2 linked regions of the Lonchura striata genome follow. The protein of the gene in region 2 purifies or fractionates together with the protein of the main gene of each other region. This does not show direct contact. Links are inferred from orthologs where the notes say so. Each region holds a gene or a part of one and is shown on either strand. Other genes may lie near its edges.

The links. Proteins that work in one complex are often made in the same cells at the same time.
Region 1: the proteins of heterogeneous nuclear ribonucleoprotein C (region 2) and NCBP1 purify together in Homo sapiens (co-immunoprecipitation; 3 studies listed by BioGRID and IntAct, with this or other methods). This does not show direct contact. The link is inferred for Lonchura striata from reciprocal best matches to the Homo sapiens genes HNRNPC and NCBP1.

What each region holds. Positions count from the first base shown.
Region 1 is NC_134642.1:47,796,402-47,804,433, reverse strand, and holds the start of NCBP1 (nuclear cap-binding protein subunit 1), read right to left. Parts: upstream 3,059-8,032; 5' UTR 2,933-3,058; coding exon 2,899-2,932; intron 2,769-2,898; coding exon 2,683-2,768; intron 2,003-2,682; coding exon 1,902-2,002; intron 813-1,901; coding exon 656-812; intron 1-655. Other genes in the region: TSTD2 (thiosulfate sulfurtransferase/rhodanese-like domain-containing protein 2), read left to right, coding at 3,190-3,273, 3,347-3,639, 4,503-4,611, 6,272-6,397. UniProt on the Homo sapiens protein: Component of the cap-binding complex (CBC), which binds cotranscriptionally to the 5'-cap of pre-mRNAs and is involved in various processes such as pre-mRNA splicing, translation regulation, nonsense-mediated mRNA decay, RNA-mediated gene silencing (RNAi) by microRNAs (miRNAs) and mRNA export.
Region 2 is NC_134641.1:1,164,127-1,171,254, forward strand, and holds the start of heterogeneous nuclear ribonucleoprotein C, read right to left. Parts: upstream 3,024-7,128; 5' UTR 2,949-3,023; intron 1-2,948. Other genes in the region: SUPT16H (FACT complex subunit SPT16), read right to left, coding at 5,193-5,302, 6,505-6,582. UniProt on the Homo sapiens protein: Binds pre-mRNA and nucleates the assembly of 40S hnRNP particles. Interacts with poly-U tracts in the 3'-UTR or 5'-UTR of mRNA and modulates the stability and the level of translation of bound mRNA molecules. Single HNRNPC tetramers bind 230-240 nucleotides.

The DNA.
Region 1 (8,032 bases), on a different chromosome or scaffold from region 2:
CAATTAACATTGTAAGGACAACATTCCTAATTAAGGAATGGTGGAAAACATGCAGACTGATACTACAGAAGAAAACCACGGTACTTCTCTCTATTCTGTACAGTATCAGATAACAAAAATAACAGCAAGTTCTAGCAATAGATCTTATTAGCAAAGATAATATCACGGTTGACTGAAGTTCAGTCTCTTGACTAGAATCTTAATTTTCACCAGTGGGATTCAGAAGGTGAGGAACTTGGCAGTGGGCTTCTAAATCAGACACTGCTGAAGTTCTAATAGCTTACAGCAGACAAAATCTATAAGCAGTAAGGATGAAGCAAATGGTTTCAAAGACAGGAAGCACTTTTTTTTTTTATCTTTTACATTTGACTGAAGAACAAGCAGTGAAAAGCACCTCTGTTTAACACACATTTAATTTTTCACTGTGAAAAAGATACCATTGGAACTACATTTTGTAAATGTAATACAAGTCCTCGTCCTTGAAAAAGAAAATACTGCTAACACATATTTCCTCTTGGAATATTTAAAGTGCACTGCACATTGATGGCAAAAGACATTAAAACACACATTGCAAGGTCCAGCTCTCTGTAACAAAAAGGTGAAAAGAGGAAAGAATAAGGATATGAAAAAAATAGACAAATAAAACTCCACTTACTAAATGCACAGCTTCATTATACATGTTTACTTTCAGACATTCTTTAAGCTGACGAATCATGGCTTCTACAAATTCCCCACCAAAATTGTAGTTCCTGGCATTCAGCAAGCCCACCAATGTCGTGTAAACAGTAAGCTTTTCTGGTAGCAGACGTGCACTGACACAGAAAAAGAAATAATGTGTTAGTTGTTTATTCATCATGTGCCAGTTGGCCACTGCATGGCATCTTAGAATCCGCGTATTGTAAGTTAAAACTTGGCTCATGAGGAAATCAGAAAATCAGAAAAGACAGCTACTATCACTTTCTAGTACAAAATATTTGCTTTTCATTTATATCTAATTGCTGAGTATCCCACAGGGTTGGACAAATAATATTAGTGACAGAATTTATTGCAAGAATGCAAGAAGTTGTTTAAGTCCATAGTCAATAGTAAAGTCATTACACAGCATAAGGAATACTAGGTCCTACTGTAAAAAAGTAATTTACCTCTACCATTTTAAGCAGGTAAGTAAGCAGTGTCTTTCTGCTGCCAGGGAAGGAAGCACACTACTTACCTGTTATTAAAAATATTGCTAAAAAAGAAACTTTAAGTATCTGCAAAATATTAGAACAGGCTACATAGTCTGCACCACACCCTTCCTTCGGAATTGTCTTACCTCTTGCAACAGACCCTGCACAATCCCTCCCTCAACACCATTCAGTGACCCTGTCATAGCATCTCTGCTCCTGCATTTTGCAGGGAGAGGAAAGAGAGCTGGCAGCCACCAGAGCCTGGTTTCTGCTCCTCCCGTTCCCAGTCCTTCCCCTCTAGCAAATGTGCTTACAAAGACTTGAGCACGTGACTGCCAGGGAAGAGAAAGCTGTGAGAAAACATCAAGATAACACAGATAGATGTTAGCAGCCACTCTGGTGGTCTTAAGCGCTTAAGCGTTTCACGTGAAAAAGGATTTTACCCGGTATTGCTGCGTTCCCACAGCTACTGCAGACCAGTTCTAATGTTTCATCTACCTGCTTCAAGCCTTTATACACATTTCAAGTCAAAGCAAAGTAAAAAGGTATTTTTCTTGAATTACACCAAATACATAGCGAACTTGTTCCTCTATGTCTTTCGTTTGTAGTAAGGCAAACCCTAAGCTATGACACCAATCACAAACTAAAGCTATTCATGGCTTTTAAACTACCTTAAAACCAAACTTAGGCACACCGAAAGCACACCCCATATTCCCAGACCTTCTCAATACGTACACAGTACACAGTATTCTTAGTATCTTGCTTTTGTAATTTGGCAGATCAGCTTCCAAAACACCAGCTAGGCCCTCCAGGTTGCTCTCCAAAGATGAATTACTCTAAAATGAAAACAAAACAAACAAACAGAAGAAAGTTTCATCAACCAGGCAAAACGAACTAGTCCAACTCCCACATGTAAGACATGAGCATCCTTTCGTGTCGCCTCATTTTTCGGGGCAATACTCGGGTTCCATCAAAAGCGAAGATCTGTTCTCGCTTGCCTAACAAGAGTTGCACCTGACCGCCAAACTCCCTCGCTAGGAACTTCAGCTTTCCCCCGGGATGCAAGATCGAACATCACCTCAGGAGCATCCCGACCAGCCGAGCATTGATTAACAACACAACACGAAGCTGAAAAACACCTAGTTTCTCTGCGCATCATCACCTATTGTTCTGCCACCCCCTCCTCCATCAGCCCCACCGTCGGGACTGGAAACTTGTGCCGCAGGAAGAGCAATTAATTCTTTCGCACCCTTCGCACGCCAGAATCACCAGCACCATCTCTAGGTACAACAGTAACTCGGGCCGTGTATCCCCGACTGGGAAGCACCACGCTACGATTTAAGCACTTACCCGCCGCAGCACGTGGCTTAGCAAAAAAAACCGGCAACTTTCCACCCACCTCACAAAATAAGCATTTTTTGAGGGTCGCTACTACAGACGAAGCGCACCCACACCATGCAAGGGACAGGGAGAAGGGAAACGAGGCTTGAGTTCCCCGAGCCGCCGGCCCACCTACCTTCTCTCCCACCCTGCAGATGAGCGACTCGAGCCTCTCCTCAATTTCCGACGGCTCGGACGTCCTCCGCCTCTTGTGGGGCTGTCCTGCTCCACAACACACCAAGCAGAGCGTTACCGCCGCCGCAGAAACCCTGCCGCTCTCAACCCCGCCGCTCCTCCATCCCGCCCGACCCACCCTCCCGCCGGGACACCGCGAGGGGGGCGCGGGGCTCACCATCGCTGTCGTCGCTGTGCCGCCGCCGCGACATGGTCCGGAGCAGCGGGGGGGAGCAGCGGGAGGAGCAGCGCCGAGCAGTGCGGAGCGCCGCGGAGCTGCGGGAAGCGCTGGGCCGAGGCGCCGCGCGGGCCGAGCAAGCGCGCTGCCTCCCCGCCCGCGGCCGCGCCGCTTCCGGGGCGCGCGCGGCCCGGCCCGCCCACTTCCCTGAGGAACCCGAGCCGTTCCGGGTCGGGGACGGAGCCGGCGGGAGGAGGCGGAGAGCGGGCGCTTCCCGGCGGAGAGGGGGAGATGGTGCTGGGCGAGGCGGCGCCGCGGGGCAGCGCCGAGGGGGCGGCGGCGGGCAGGAAGCAGTGCGCGGCCGCCCGCAGGAAGGTGGGTCGGGGCCGGGGCCGGGCCTGGGCCGCGCTGTAACCTCGGTAACGAGGACGCTTGCGGTGCGTTCCAGGCCTTTTCCCTGTTCGTCAAAGCCAAGGAGGTGCCGGCCGCGTCGCGGTGTCCCGGCGGAGGAGAGGGCGTGCGGTGGCGGTGCTGCCGGCAGGCGTTCGAGGAGCTGCCCGGCATCCACAGGCACGTGGCGCTGCACCACTCCGGGGACGTGGGGCGGCAGGCGGGGCTGGGCGCGCCGCCCGCCGACGCCGCGGGCGGCGCGGCCCGGCCGAGCGGGCGCTCCTGCGGCGGCCCGGAGATCTCCTGGGCGCTCCCGGACACCAGCCACGTCAGCCACGACGATCTGACCAGGTAAGGAAGCTCCTCGCCTCCCTGAAGCTCCAGCACTGGGATATTCGGCTTTACATGATCATCTGCCAGTGTACTTCTTATGAGAAGTACTTCTTAAGCCACGCTTCTAAGGTATAGGAAGAGAGTATTCCCCAATATTCTTCTAGATCTTCACATTCTTTGTGTATCCTTTATATAAAGAGCTAGATCCCTTGCAGTTTTTAACGGTGGATTGAACTATTCTTCTGTACTGTTAAAGCAGGTCTGTATGGGTGTTGCTTGACAGCTTGGATCTGTAAGGAAGGACCACAACAGAGAAGGGCAGAACAGCAGGATATGCTTTGCACGGGTTCCTTTCTGCTGTTCGTTCAAGTTCCTGAAGTTAGTTATGAAGAAGGTTCATAGAAACGCTTCTGACTGTGACAGAGTTCAGCTTGTGCTGCACAGAATGTGGGAATGTGCAATCTCACAAAAAACTTAGGCTTTTTAAATTTAGACAGCTCAAGTGCTTGAGTTTTCAAGTGCCATTTTGGTAAAGTGAGCCAAATGGCTTGCATGTATGGATAAAAGCCAGCAATTCTTGTGTTCTGTGTGTGGGGAGAGCATATGGTAGGCCCTGGAAGTGAGAGTACAAAGTTCACTTTGTAACTAGTCCCGAGGATTAGAAGTCTGGGAGCTTTTTTTTTGGTTAACATTCATTCTGTTTGTAATAAACCAAACCCAGTAGGTCTAATCCCTACAAAGTTTGTTTCAGGGGATTTTTTTCTCTACAGATCTGCCAAAAGAAAATTGTCTGCTTTTTGAATGGTTACTGCTAATAGTACAATTTTGTTCTTTCTTAACATTATTTTTCTTTTTGCTTACCTTTACCATGCTGTGGGCAGCCAGGTGGGAGACGTACTTCTCTATTACTGTTACTGTGAGGTGAGGGATCCAGAGAAACTCTGTGCTTGGCAGAAGGCTTTGTGTCAGCATCTACATCTCACTGGCAAGGTAAGGTTTGCAGCAATGGTTCTATTCTTAAAGGAAAAAGCCCCATATCTTTACGTAGTGCAGGATGATGGGTTATATGGAGAACCACATGTGTTTTGCATCAGAAAGTGTTAGTCTGTTATGATCCCATTAAGACAGACACTCAGACTTGGTAAGGTATCTTTTAGAATTCTGTTTAAGAGCTATCACAACAAAGAAAAAAAAATACAGATAATCTTAAATCCCCTTAAATCCCTTTTGATGTAGGGAGCCCTGGGTTGTGTGGCACTGAGTGAGCCTTACAGGCAGCACACTGTGCAGACCCTGGCCTTGCAAGGATTACCCTGTTTCCATCAGTTTTACACATGGAAACAGTCTTTTTATCACTCCTGCTGTCAACCAGAAAGGATATTCACATGAGAAAGTCGTGATGCATTTTTCTATAAAGGCAGGGAGATGAAAGTGACTTAATCATTGGTGTCAGCAGAGAGCTGCTTTCAGGCATCTCAGTTAGCATTAGCAGGCTGGGTGTATGCTGTGGCTGAAGGACACATGCAGCACAACGCAGCCTGAGGGCCAAGCTGGAGGGATAGCGTGGGTCTGGGCCTGCTCCACTCACTGGGCACCTGTATCCTCCTTCCTCAGTGCACAGTGGGCTTCCATGCAGAGTGGCTACAGCAAGCTGTAAGCCATACTGTTGGGAAGGTGAGAACAGCCAACACCTTAGACTACACCATAATGTAGCATTTTTCTTTTCTGCACAGTCTGTTATTTTCATTCCTGGCAGGTTAGACTAATGACATCAGTTGCTTGTGTACCTGACCTCTGGATGCTGTGTGCAAAGGTGAATTTTAGTCTCAGAAAGTTGATGTTCCTAGGCTATCTGTGAGGAGAAGGAGAGCAACGTGGAGCAGGAAAATCCTTTTATCTGAGACTTGTCTTCCTAATTAGCTTCTTGCTCTCTGCCAGTGATACATCAACACAGGCCTGGGGGTGAAGTGTTGTCATACATTCACTCCTTTTTCTGCTCAGCTGTCTTCTCTGGTAGTTGGTGTTTTGCTCAAGTTTCTTTTCTTTTTTTTTTTCCATCTCATCTCCAAGACAGGTAGAGCCCAATCAGCTGTTTTTCTCCTTGCTTCTTATATTCAGTCTTTCGCCCTTCCCCCCAACCCCCACTTCAGAGCTTTTGTTCATTTGTCAGTGCTGGGGATAAAATGACTCATCCCAAAAATTAATATTTGATACAATGTTATGCATATTCACATTTTCTTTTTTAGCTGTGTGAGTCATGCAGCACAAACCTATTGTTCTTTCTGAGGTAACTTCCAGTGGGAATTCTAATGCCGACTGCAGGATTTGCAGACAGCAATTTCTGTGTTTATACAGCATTTCTCTGTTTATTGAGTGGACTTCTCTGACTGTCCTGGTGTGATTCTTTTAAAATGGCTGAGAAATGGTTACTGGATTGTTGAGGGTTTTTTTTCCTGGTTATTGTCTTTATGTTCAACTTCAGACTAACCATATTTTCCTTCCTTAATCAGTAGTCTCTTTTCTGAACATACTCCTGTGCCTGCCCTGTGTCACAGGCAAATATTTTGCCATATTCATAATTTGCCAATTTCACTATGATCTCTTTTGCTGTAATTAAGGCTCAGCCCCAGCTTCTCCTCTTGCCTTCTAGGTACGAGTTGCTTCAGAGGGGATTAATGGGACAGTTGGTGGAAGCAAAGTAGCTACCAGTCTTTACATTAAAGTTATGCTTTCCCAGCCTCTGTTCAAAAACACTTTGTGTCAAGAGGATTTCAAGGTATGACAAAAAATTTACGTAGATATTATTAATGCAAGTAATTTAATTTTCAAGAAATAAGTAGTTTCCTTTTTGACAGTATTACTTCTGCTGTAGCAGTTCTGCTCCCCCACCACTTACCTAAGTTGGTGGATCTTAACCGTACTGAAAATCTTTGCTGGTTTTTACAAGAATTGGGAGTTTCCATGGACAGTGATAGTCACTGCTACAAGCTTTGGCAGCTATGGGTGCAGCTTCAAAGCCCCTGAATACAGGTGAGTGAGGGAGTGTGCCTAAGCCCCATCATTCTGCAACAAGCATTTACTGCAGACTGAGCAGGCATCATGACATACACTTAGCCCAGCAAAGTGTTTGCACACTGTCCTCTTCACCCTGCTTTGACGGGAAGCAGTACTACTGGTTTAGGTTTATGCAGGTTTTGGTGCCCATATAGGTGCACTGTCAGTTCCATGGATTGGGTATCTTCCAGAGAAAACACACAGGGACTGTCAAGAGGTTTCTTGCTACTTCACTTAGTGTTTGGCTGGAGTATACATACTGATTGGTGTCGTCTCATGATGAAGGCAGCAGTGGCTGGTGTGCTATATGGCATCTGGTAGGCTTTGGCTGCCAGCCACTCTTAAGTTCTGGCTTCTCTGCAAGGAAGGAAAGCTTCTGCTTAAGCTGTAGCTCTTTTCCACACAGTTTTATTTGCAGGGAGTCCTACTATTTTTTCATAAGCAACTAGATCAAAGGAGTTAGTGAAACCTGCGAAAATCAAATTCCATGCTGAGCTGCAGTGATGATTCAGTCCTAGCTTTATAAGTGTCTGTTATGCTTGGCTGAATTTCAAGAGGAGTTGTGTTAGTTACAGTCATATGTAGATACAAAAGAAAAAAAAAGAGGGATGGAATTTTACCTTGGCAAAACCTTCAACCTTGCATGATCTCTCTGGGCGTCAGTGTTCATGCATTAGTCAAATATAGTGTTTGCTGTCTCACAGTTCCTCCTGACTGTTGTATGCCCAAGTGAGTGAGGCTTTCAGGTTACTGTGCCATGAAGACATGGGATAGAGGAGTTATTGGTGTTACCAATATTGAGAATGGGATGTGCCCTGGCTTGTCTGGCCCTGCTGCTGAACCAAATGGCAGCCACTGTGGTGTTTCACCCCAGAGACACCTTTAGCTAGCTGGATGTTGCAGCTGGGAGCATGGACGCAAGTCCAGACAAGCCAGAGCTCAGATGGCTGTGGATGTAGCTTCCTTGCAGAGGGTCTGCTCCTCAGGTTTCCCTCTGCCAGAGAAGCCTGTAAGGCTATGGTGAAGGAAAGGAGTCGGTTCTGATGGAGGGTTTTAATCCAGAGCTTTTATTCTGGCCTGCAGGCCTCTGAATCCAGTCGCAGCTCCACCACTCCCAGACCGTGTGGTTCCCCTCTCTTTTACCTGGGGGAGCGGACGGGGGAAGGGATAGGGAGCCACCAACCAGGTACAGGAGAGGACGTCTCACGGGACAAAGGACAAAGGATGGCCCAATGCCTTCCTAGGGGTGGAGAGCATCTTTTGAACCTGCTCAATCACTCTATGCCCTTCTGGAATTCCAGGAGTGACAGACAGTGCTTGGCAGAGGGTCAGGGTGGGGAAAGGAGAAGTGATTGAC
Region 2 (7,128 bases):
CCTGAATTTGGGGAGAAATGGAGAATTTGGGGGGTTTGTCCCCGAATTTTGAGGGTTTATTCCCAAATTTGGAGAGAAATGGAAATTTTGAGGGGTTTGTCCCCAGATTTGGGGAGAAATGGAGAATTTGGGGGGTTTGTCCCTGAATTTGGGGAGAAATGGAGAATTTGGGGGGTTTTTCCCCGAATTTGGGGAGAAATGGAGAATTTGGGGGGTTTGTCCCCGAATTTGGGGAGAAATGGAGAATTTGGGGGGTTTGTCCCTGAATTTTGGGGGTTTGTCCCCAAATTTGGAGAGAAATGGAGATTTTGGGGGGTTTGTCCCCGAATTTGGGGAGAAATGGAGAATTTGGGGGTTTTTCCCTGAATTTAAGAGAGAAACTCTGAATCCGAAGGGTTTCTCCCCAATTTTAGGGGTTTGTCCCTGAATTTGGGGAGAAACTGAGAATTTGGGGGGTTTGTTCCTGAATTTGGGGGATTTGTCCCCAAAAGTGGGAAATTTGTCCCTGAATTTGGGGAGAAATGGAGAATTCGGAGAGTTTTCCCCTGAATTTGGGGAAAATGGGGAACTTGAGGGGTTTGACCCCAAATTTCGGGATTTTGCCCCTGAATTTAGGCAGAAACAGAAAATGTAGGGGTTTTGTCCCCAAATTTGGGGGATTTGTCCCCAAATTTGGTTTGTTTCTCCCTGAATTTGTGGGTTTTCCCCCAAATTTGGGGATTTTGCCCCTGAATTTAGGCAGAAACAGAAAATGTAGGGGTTTTGTCCCCAAATTTGGGGGGTTTCTCCCTGAATTTGTAGGTTTTCCCCCAAATTTGGGGATTTTGCCCCCGAATTTTGGGGTTTTTGGCAAAATTCGGGTTTAACTCCCCGAATTCCCCTCCGCCCTCCCAAAGCCCCAGATTTGGGGCCAAAAGGGGAAATTTGGGACTTTGGAGCTTTAATTAAGGCAGGAGGGGGGAAGGGGGAGGGAAATTTGAGGGGGAATGGGGGAATTTGGGGGCTGGCCCCAAAATCTGGGGGAAATCCCCTGAAAATCGAGATTTTGGGGGAGAAAATGGAGGAAATGAGATGGGAGCTCCTGGAGCCAGGAGAGAACGCGGGAATTTGGGATTTAGCCCCAAAAACACTCCTGGACCTGATCAAAAACCTCCAAAATGTACCTGGAACTGATCAAAAACTCCTAAAAACCTCCAAAACCACCAGGAACTGATCAAAACCCCCTAAAAACCCCAAAAGCCACCTGGAAATGATCAGAAACCCCTAAAAACCCCCAAAACCACCAGGAACTGATCAAAAACCCCTAAAAACCACCTGAAACCAACCAAAAACCCCTAAAAACCCCCAAAAATCCTGGAAATGATCAGAAACTCAAAAATAAACCCAAAAACCATCTGGAACCACCCAAAACCCACCTGGAACCACCCCAGAAATTTCCAAAAACCACTAAAAATCACCAAAAACCCTGAAAAATCCCCAAACACCGCCCGGGACTTCGCAGGTGGGGAAGAGGCAAAAACTGAACCTGAAAAGGTCCCAAAATTGGGGGGAAAAGGGAAAAACGGAACCTGAGCTCCCAAAATTGGGGGGAAAAGGGAAAAACGGAACCTGAGCTCCCAAAATTGGGGGGAAAAGGGAAAAACGGAACCTGAGCTCCCAAAATTGGGGGGAAAAGGGAAAAACGGAACCTGAGCTCCCGAAATTGGGGGGAAAAGGGAAAAATGGAACCTGAGCTCCTGAAATTGGGGGGAAAAGGGAAAAACGGAACCTGAGCTCCCAAAATTGGGGGGAAAAGGGAAAAACGGAACCTGAGCTCCCAAAATTGGGGTGGAAAGGGAAAAACGGAACCTGAGCTCCCGAAATTGGGGGGAAAAGGGAAAAACGGAACCTGAGCTCCTGAAATTGGGGGGAAAAGGGAAAAACGGAACCTGAGCTCCCGAAATTGGGGGGAAAAGGGAAAAACGGAACCTGAGCTCCCGAAATTGGGGGGAAAAGGGAAAAATGGAACCTGAGCTCCTGAAATTGGGGGGAAAAGGGAAAAACGGAACCTGAGCTCCCAAAATTGGGGGGAAAAGGGAAATCTGGGAATTCCTGCCCCCCGCCGTTAATTAAACCTTGGAGGGGATTAATTAAAGCTTCTGGGGGGGTTTAATTAAAGGATTTGGGGGGGTTTAATTAAAACTTCTGGGGGGTTTAATGAAAGCTCCCAAAGCCAGGCTTGGCCACGCCCACCTCGGAATTGGCCCCGCCCCCAAATGTAGCCCCGCCCCTCGCTGCTTTATTAACCCTTAATTAGCATTAATTAGCCCCTTAACGATTAGCCACGCCCCCTGGGTTAATTATGCAAACGAAGGCCTCCAAGGGGAGTGAATTAGGCCCAGCCTGGCGCGCAAGGGGTTAATTAATTAATTAATTAATTAAGCCGAGGGTGTTAATCAGGGCTAAGCCACGCCCCCACCCCCGCGGGGTCAGCCCCGCCCCCGCAGGGGCTGATTAATTTATTAATTACCTCGGGGAGCCGAACCCCGCCCCCGCAGGGCTTAATTAAACACGGAGCGCCCTAATTAATTAATTAATTACCTCGGGGAGCCAACCCCGCCCCCGCAGGGGTTAATTAAACCCGGAGCGCGCTCGTTAATTAACTGGGGAGCCAAACCCCGCCCCCGGCGGGGTCAATCCCGGCCCTGAAGGGGTTAATTACCCCCCCAGCCGAGTCATTAGTTAATTACGCTGAGCAATTAGTTCAGGAGGGCGCGGCCCCGCCCCCAGGCCCCGCCCCCCCGGCCCTGAGCCCCCCCCCCCCCCCCATTTCCCGCCTCGCTCCCTCACGCGCCGCCGCCATTTGCACCCCCCAAACCTCCCCCGCGCCCCCGGGCGGGTCCTCCCGCCCGCGGAGCCTCCCGCAGCCCCCCGGGACCCTCCCGGAGCCGCCCCCGCTGCCCCCTCACCGCTCCGGGCACCGCTGCGCTGCCGCCGCCGCCGCCGCCGCTTCCTCCGGGGGCCGAGCGCAAAATGGCGCCCGCGCCGCCCTCAGCGCCGCCAGCGCCGCCGGGCCCGCCCACGCCGCCCGTTGCCGCGCGGCGATTGGCTGAGACGGCTGTCAATCCAGCGCCGAGCCAATGGCAGCGCGCGGAGCGGCGCTGCGCGGGAAGGGGGAGGAGAGACGGCGGGGGGCTCGGGGGGTGGTTTCGATCGCGCTGATTGGCCGAGCGCGCTGCCAGTTATTCCGCTATACCAATCGGAGTCCGGCGCACAGCGGAGGGCCCGCCCCCCGAGGCGCGCGGGGAGGTGGGCGCATGCGCAGCCGGCCGCCGTTGGATCAGCGGGAGGGCGGGGCGAAGGGCTCGGTGCGGGCTCTGATTGGGCGAAGCGAGACGTGGGAGGTTGGTGATTGGACAGCGGCGCTGTCAGTCAGGCGGAGGGGGCGCGGCCCAGTTCGCGCTGGTTTTGGGGCCTTTTAAACTGGTTTGGGGTGATTTAAACTGGTTTAGGGAAATTAAAACTAGTTTGGGGTGATTTTAACCGGTTTGGGGTCATTTAAACCGGTCTGGGCCCATTTTAAACTGGTTTTTCCCAATCCCGACACCTTTCTCCCCATTTTTCTCAAGTTTTCCAATTTTGTCCTCATTTTTTCCATCTTCCCCCCATTCTTTCCCACTTCTGCCCAATTTTCCCCAGATTTTCTCAATTTCCCCCATTTTTCACATTTCCCCTCCATTTTTTTCCCAGTTTTCCCCAATTTCCCCAATTTTTCCCAATTTCCCCCTATTTTTTCCCAATTTTGCCCAATTCCCCCATTTCCCCCCCCACTTTCCCCCTTTTCCCCCATTTTTCCAATTTTCCCCAATTCCTTTCCGAATTTCCTCCCTCATTTCCCCCAATTTCCCCCCAGTTTTCCCAATTTTCCCCTATTTTTCCCAATTCTCCCACTTTCCCACCATTTTCCCACCATTTTTTCCCAATTTCCCCCATTTTGCCCCATTTTCCCCCCTTTTCTCCCCATTTTTCGCATTTTTTCCCCGTTTTTCCCAATTCCCCCCATTTTGCCAAATTCCCCTCGATTTTTTCCAATTTTTCTCAATTTCCCCCCAATTTTCCCCAGTTTTTTTCTTATTTTCCCCATTTTCCCAATTCCCCCCGGTTTTGCCCCATTTTTCCCCTTTTTCTCCCATTTTCCCAATTTCTTCCCATTTCTCCTCAATTCCCTCCATTTTGCCCAATTCCCCGCGATATTTTACATTTTTTCCAATTCCCCCATTTTTCCCAATTTCCCCCTTTTTCTCCTTTTCCCACTTTTTTCCCCATTTTTCCCAATTTACTCCCCATTTTTTCCCAATTCCCATTTTTGCCCAATTTTCCCCTTTTTTTTTCTCATTTCCCCCCATTTTTCTCATTTTCCCCACCATTTTTCCCAATTTCCCCCATTTTTGCCCCATTTTTCCCCCTTTTGCCCCATTTTCCCAATTTTTTTTCCATTTTTCCCCAATTTCCCCCATTTTTCCCCAATTTTTTTTCCAATTCCCCCCATTTTTCTCAATTTTTCCACCATTTTTCCCAATTTCCCCCGTTTTTGCCCCATTTTTCCCCATTTCCCCCGTTTTCGCCCCATTTTTCCCAATTTCCCCCGTTTTCGCCCCGTTTCCGCCCTGGCGCGCAGGAATTCCCGTTTTGGTTAGAAAACCTTAAAAAAACGAAATTTTTATTGAATTTTTGGAAAAGAGCCGCGGGGGGGGGAGGGGGCCCGAACCCGGGGGGGAAAAACCCCAAAAAGGGGGAAAATCCCCCCAAAATGGGGGGACCCCCATAAATACAGAAACCGGGGGAAAAAACACGGATTTTGGGAAAATCGGGGAAATCCGGGGGTTTTCGGCACCGATTTCCGGTGGGAAAATCTCGGGGAATCTCCCCAAAAACCCCGCGGGGAGAAAAAAAAAAAAAAACAAAATCCCCGAATTTTCACCCAAACAACAAAACTAAAAAAAATTCCAAAAAAAACCCCCAAAAACGGGCGGGGCCCCAAAATCCGCGGGAATCGCCCCAAAATTCCAGAGGGGGGGGGAAAATGGGAAAAAAAACAACAAAAAGGGGAAAAAAGGTGAAAAAAAACGGGGAAAAACGGGGAAAAAAGGGGCGGGACGGGGGCGAAAAGGCCCGGGCGGTTTTGGGGTGAAAAGCGGCGATTTTGGGTCCCGTCACTTCCGCTTCTTCTTGGGGGGGTGGGGCCGGCCCCGGCCGGGGGGGCCCTTGCGCTTCCGGCCCCGCCCCCGCTCCTCCTCCTCCTCGTATTGGCTCTCGCGGTCGGCTGGGCGCCGTTTGGGGCGAAAAACGGCGATTTTGGGCAAAACGGGGATTTGGGAAAAAGGGGGGTTGGGGGGGAAAGGGGGATTGGGGGGGGAAATGGGGATTTTGGGTAAATGGGGAATTGGGGGTGAAAAATGGGGGTTTTGAGAAAAAGGGGGATTGGGGGGGAAATAGGGGTTTGGGGTGAAAAATGGGGATTTTGGGCAAAACGGGGATTTGGGGAAAAAGGGGGATTGGGGGTAAAGGGGGATTGGGGGGGAAAATGGGGATTTTGGGTAAATGGGGAATTGGGGGTGAAAAATGGGGGTTTTGGGAAAAAGGGGGTTTGGGGGGGAAGTGGGGATTGGGGTGAAAAACGGCGATTTTGGGCAAAACGGCGATTTGGGGAAAAAGGGGGATTGGGGGGGAAAATGGGGATTTTGGGTAAAGGGGGAATTGGGGGTGAAAAATGGGGATTTTGGGTAAATGGGGAATTGGGGTGAAAAATGGGGATTTTGGGAAAAAGGGGGATTGGGGAAAATGGGGAATTAGGGTGGAAAATGGGCGTTTTGGGAAAAAGGGGGTTGGGGGGGAAAATGGGGGTTTGGGGTGAAAAATGGGGATTTTGGGCAAAAGGGGATTTTGGGGGGTAAAGGGGGTTTGGGGGGGAAAATGGGGATTTTGGGTAAATGCGGAATTGGGGGTGAAAAATGGCGGTTTTGGGAAAAAGGGGGATTGGGGGGAAATGGGGGTTTGGGGTGAAAAACGGGGATTTTGGTCAAAGGGGAATTGGGGGAGAAAACAGGGATTTTGGGAAAAAGGGGTTGAGGGGATTTGGGATTTTGGGGTGAATTCCGGGGGTTTTGGGGTGATTTAAGGGGTTTTTGGGGTGAATTCCGGGGGTTTTGGGGTGAATTTGGGGATTTTGGATTTTGGGATGAATTCCGGGGATTTTGGATTTTGGGGTGATTTAAGGGGTTTTTGGGGTGAATTCTGGGGGTTTCGGGGTTGAATTCGGGGATTTTGGGTTTTGGGGTGATTTAAGGGGTTTTTGGGGTGAATTCTGGGGGTTTCGGGGTTGAATTCGGGGATTTTGGGTTTTGGGGTGAATTCCGGGGGTTTTGGGGTGATTTAAGGGGTTTTTGGGGTGAATTCCGGGGGTTTTGGGGTTGAATTTGGGGATTTTGGGTTTTGGGGTGAATTCCGGGGGTTTTGGGGCCGCACCTTTCCGCGCCTCCTCCTCCAGCTCGTCCCAGTCCTTGCCGCTCTCCTCCTCGCTGCCCAGGGAGTCCTTGGAGTACTCTGGGCAAATCGGGGCGAAAAACGGAGAAATCGGGAAAAACGGGAAAAAACGAGAAAATTGGGAAAAAAACCCCAGGAAAAAAGGGGAAAAATGGGGTAAAAAATGGGGAAATTGGGAAAAACAGGAGAAAAAGGGGAAAATTGGGAAAAAAACACAGGAAAGTCGGGAAAAAAAGGGGAAAAATGGGGTAAAAAATGGGGAAATTGGGTAAAAAAACAGGAAAATTGGGAAAAAAACCCAGGAAAAAAGGGGAAAAATGGGGTAAAAAATGGGGAAATTGGGGAAAAAAACATGAAAATTGGGAAAAAAACCCCAGGAAAATAGGGAAAAAAGGGGGAAGATGGGGAAATTGGGAAAAAAGGGGCAAACAACAGGAAAATCGAGAAAAAAGGGGGGAAATGGGACAAAAATGGGAAAATTGGGGAAAAAGGGGAAAAATGGGCAAAAACAGGGAAATCGAGAAAAAAGGGGCAAAAAACGGGAAAATTGGGGGGAAAAAAACCAGGAAAATTGGGGAAAAAAGGGGCAAAAAATGGAGAAATAGG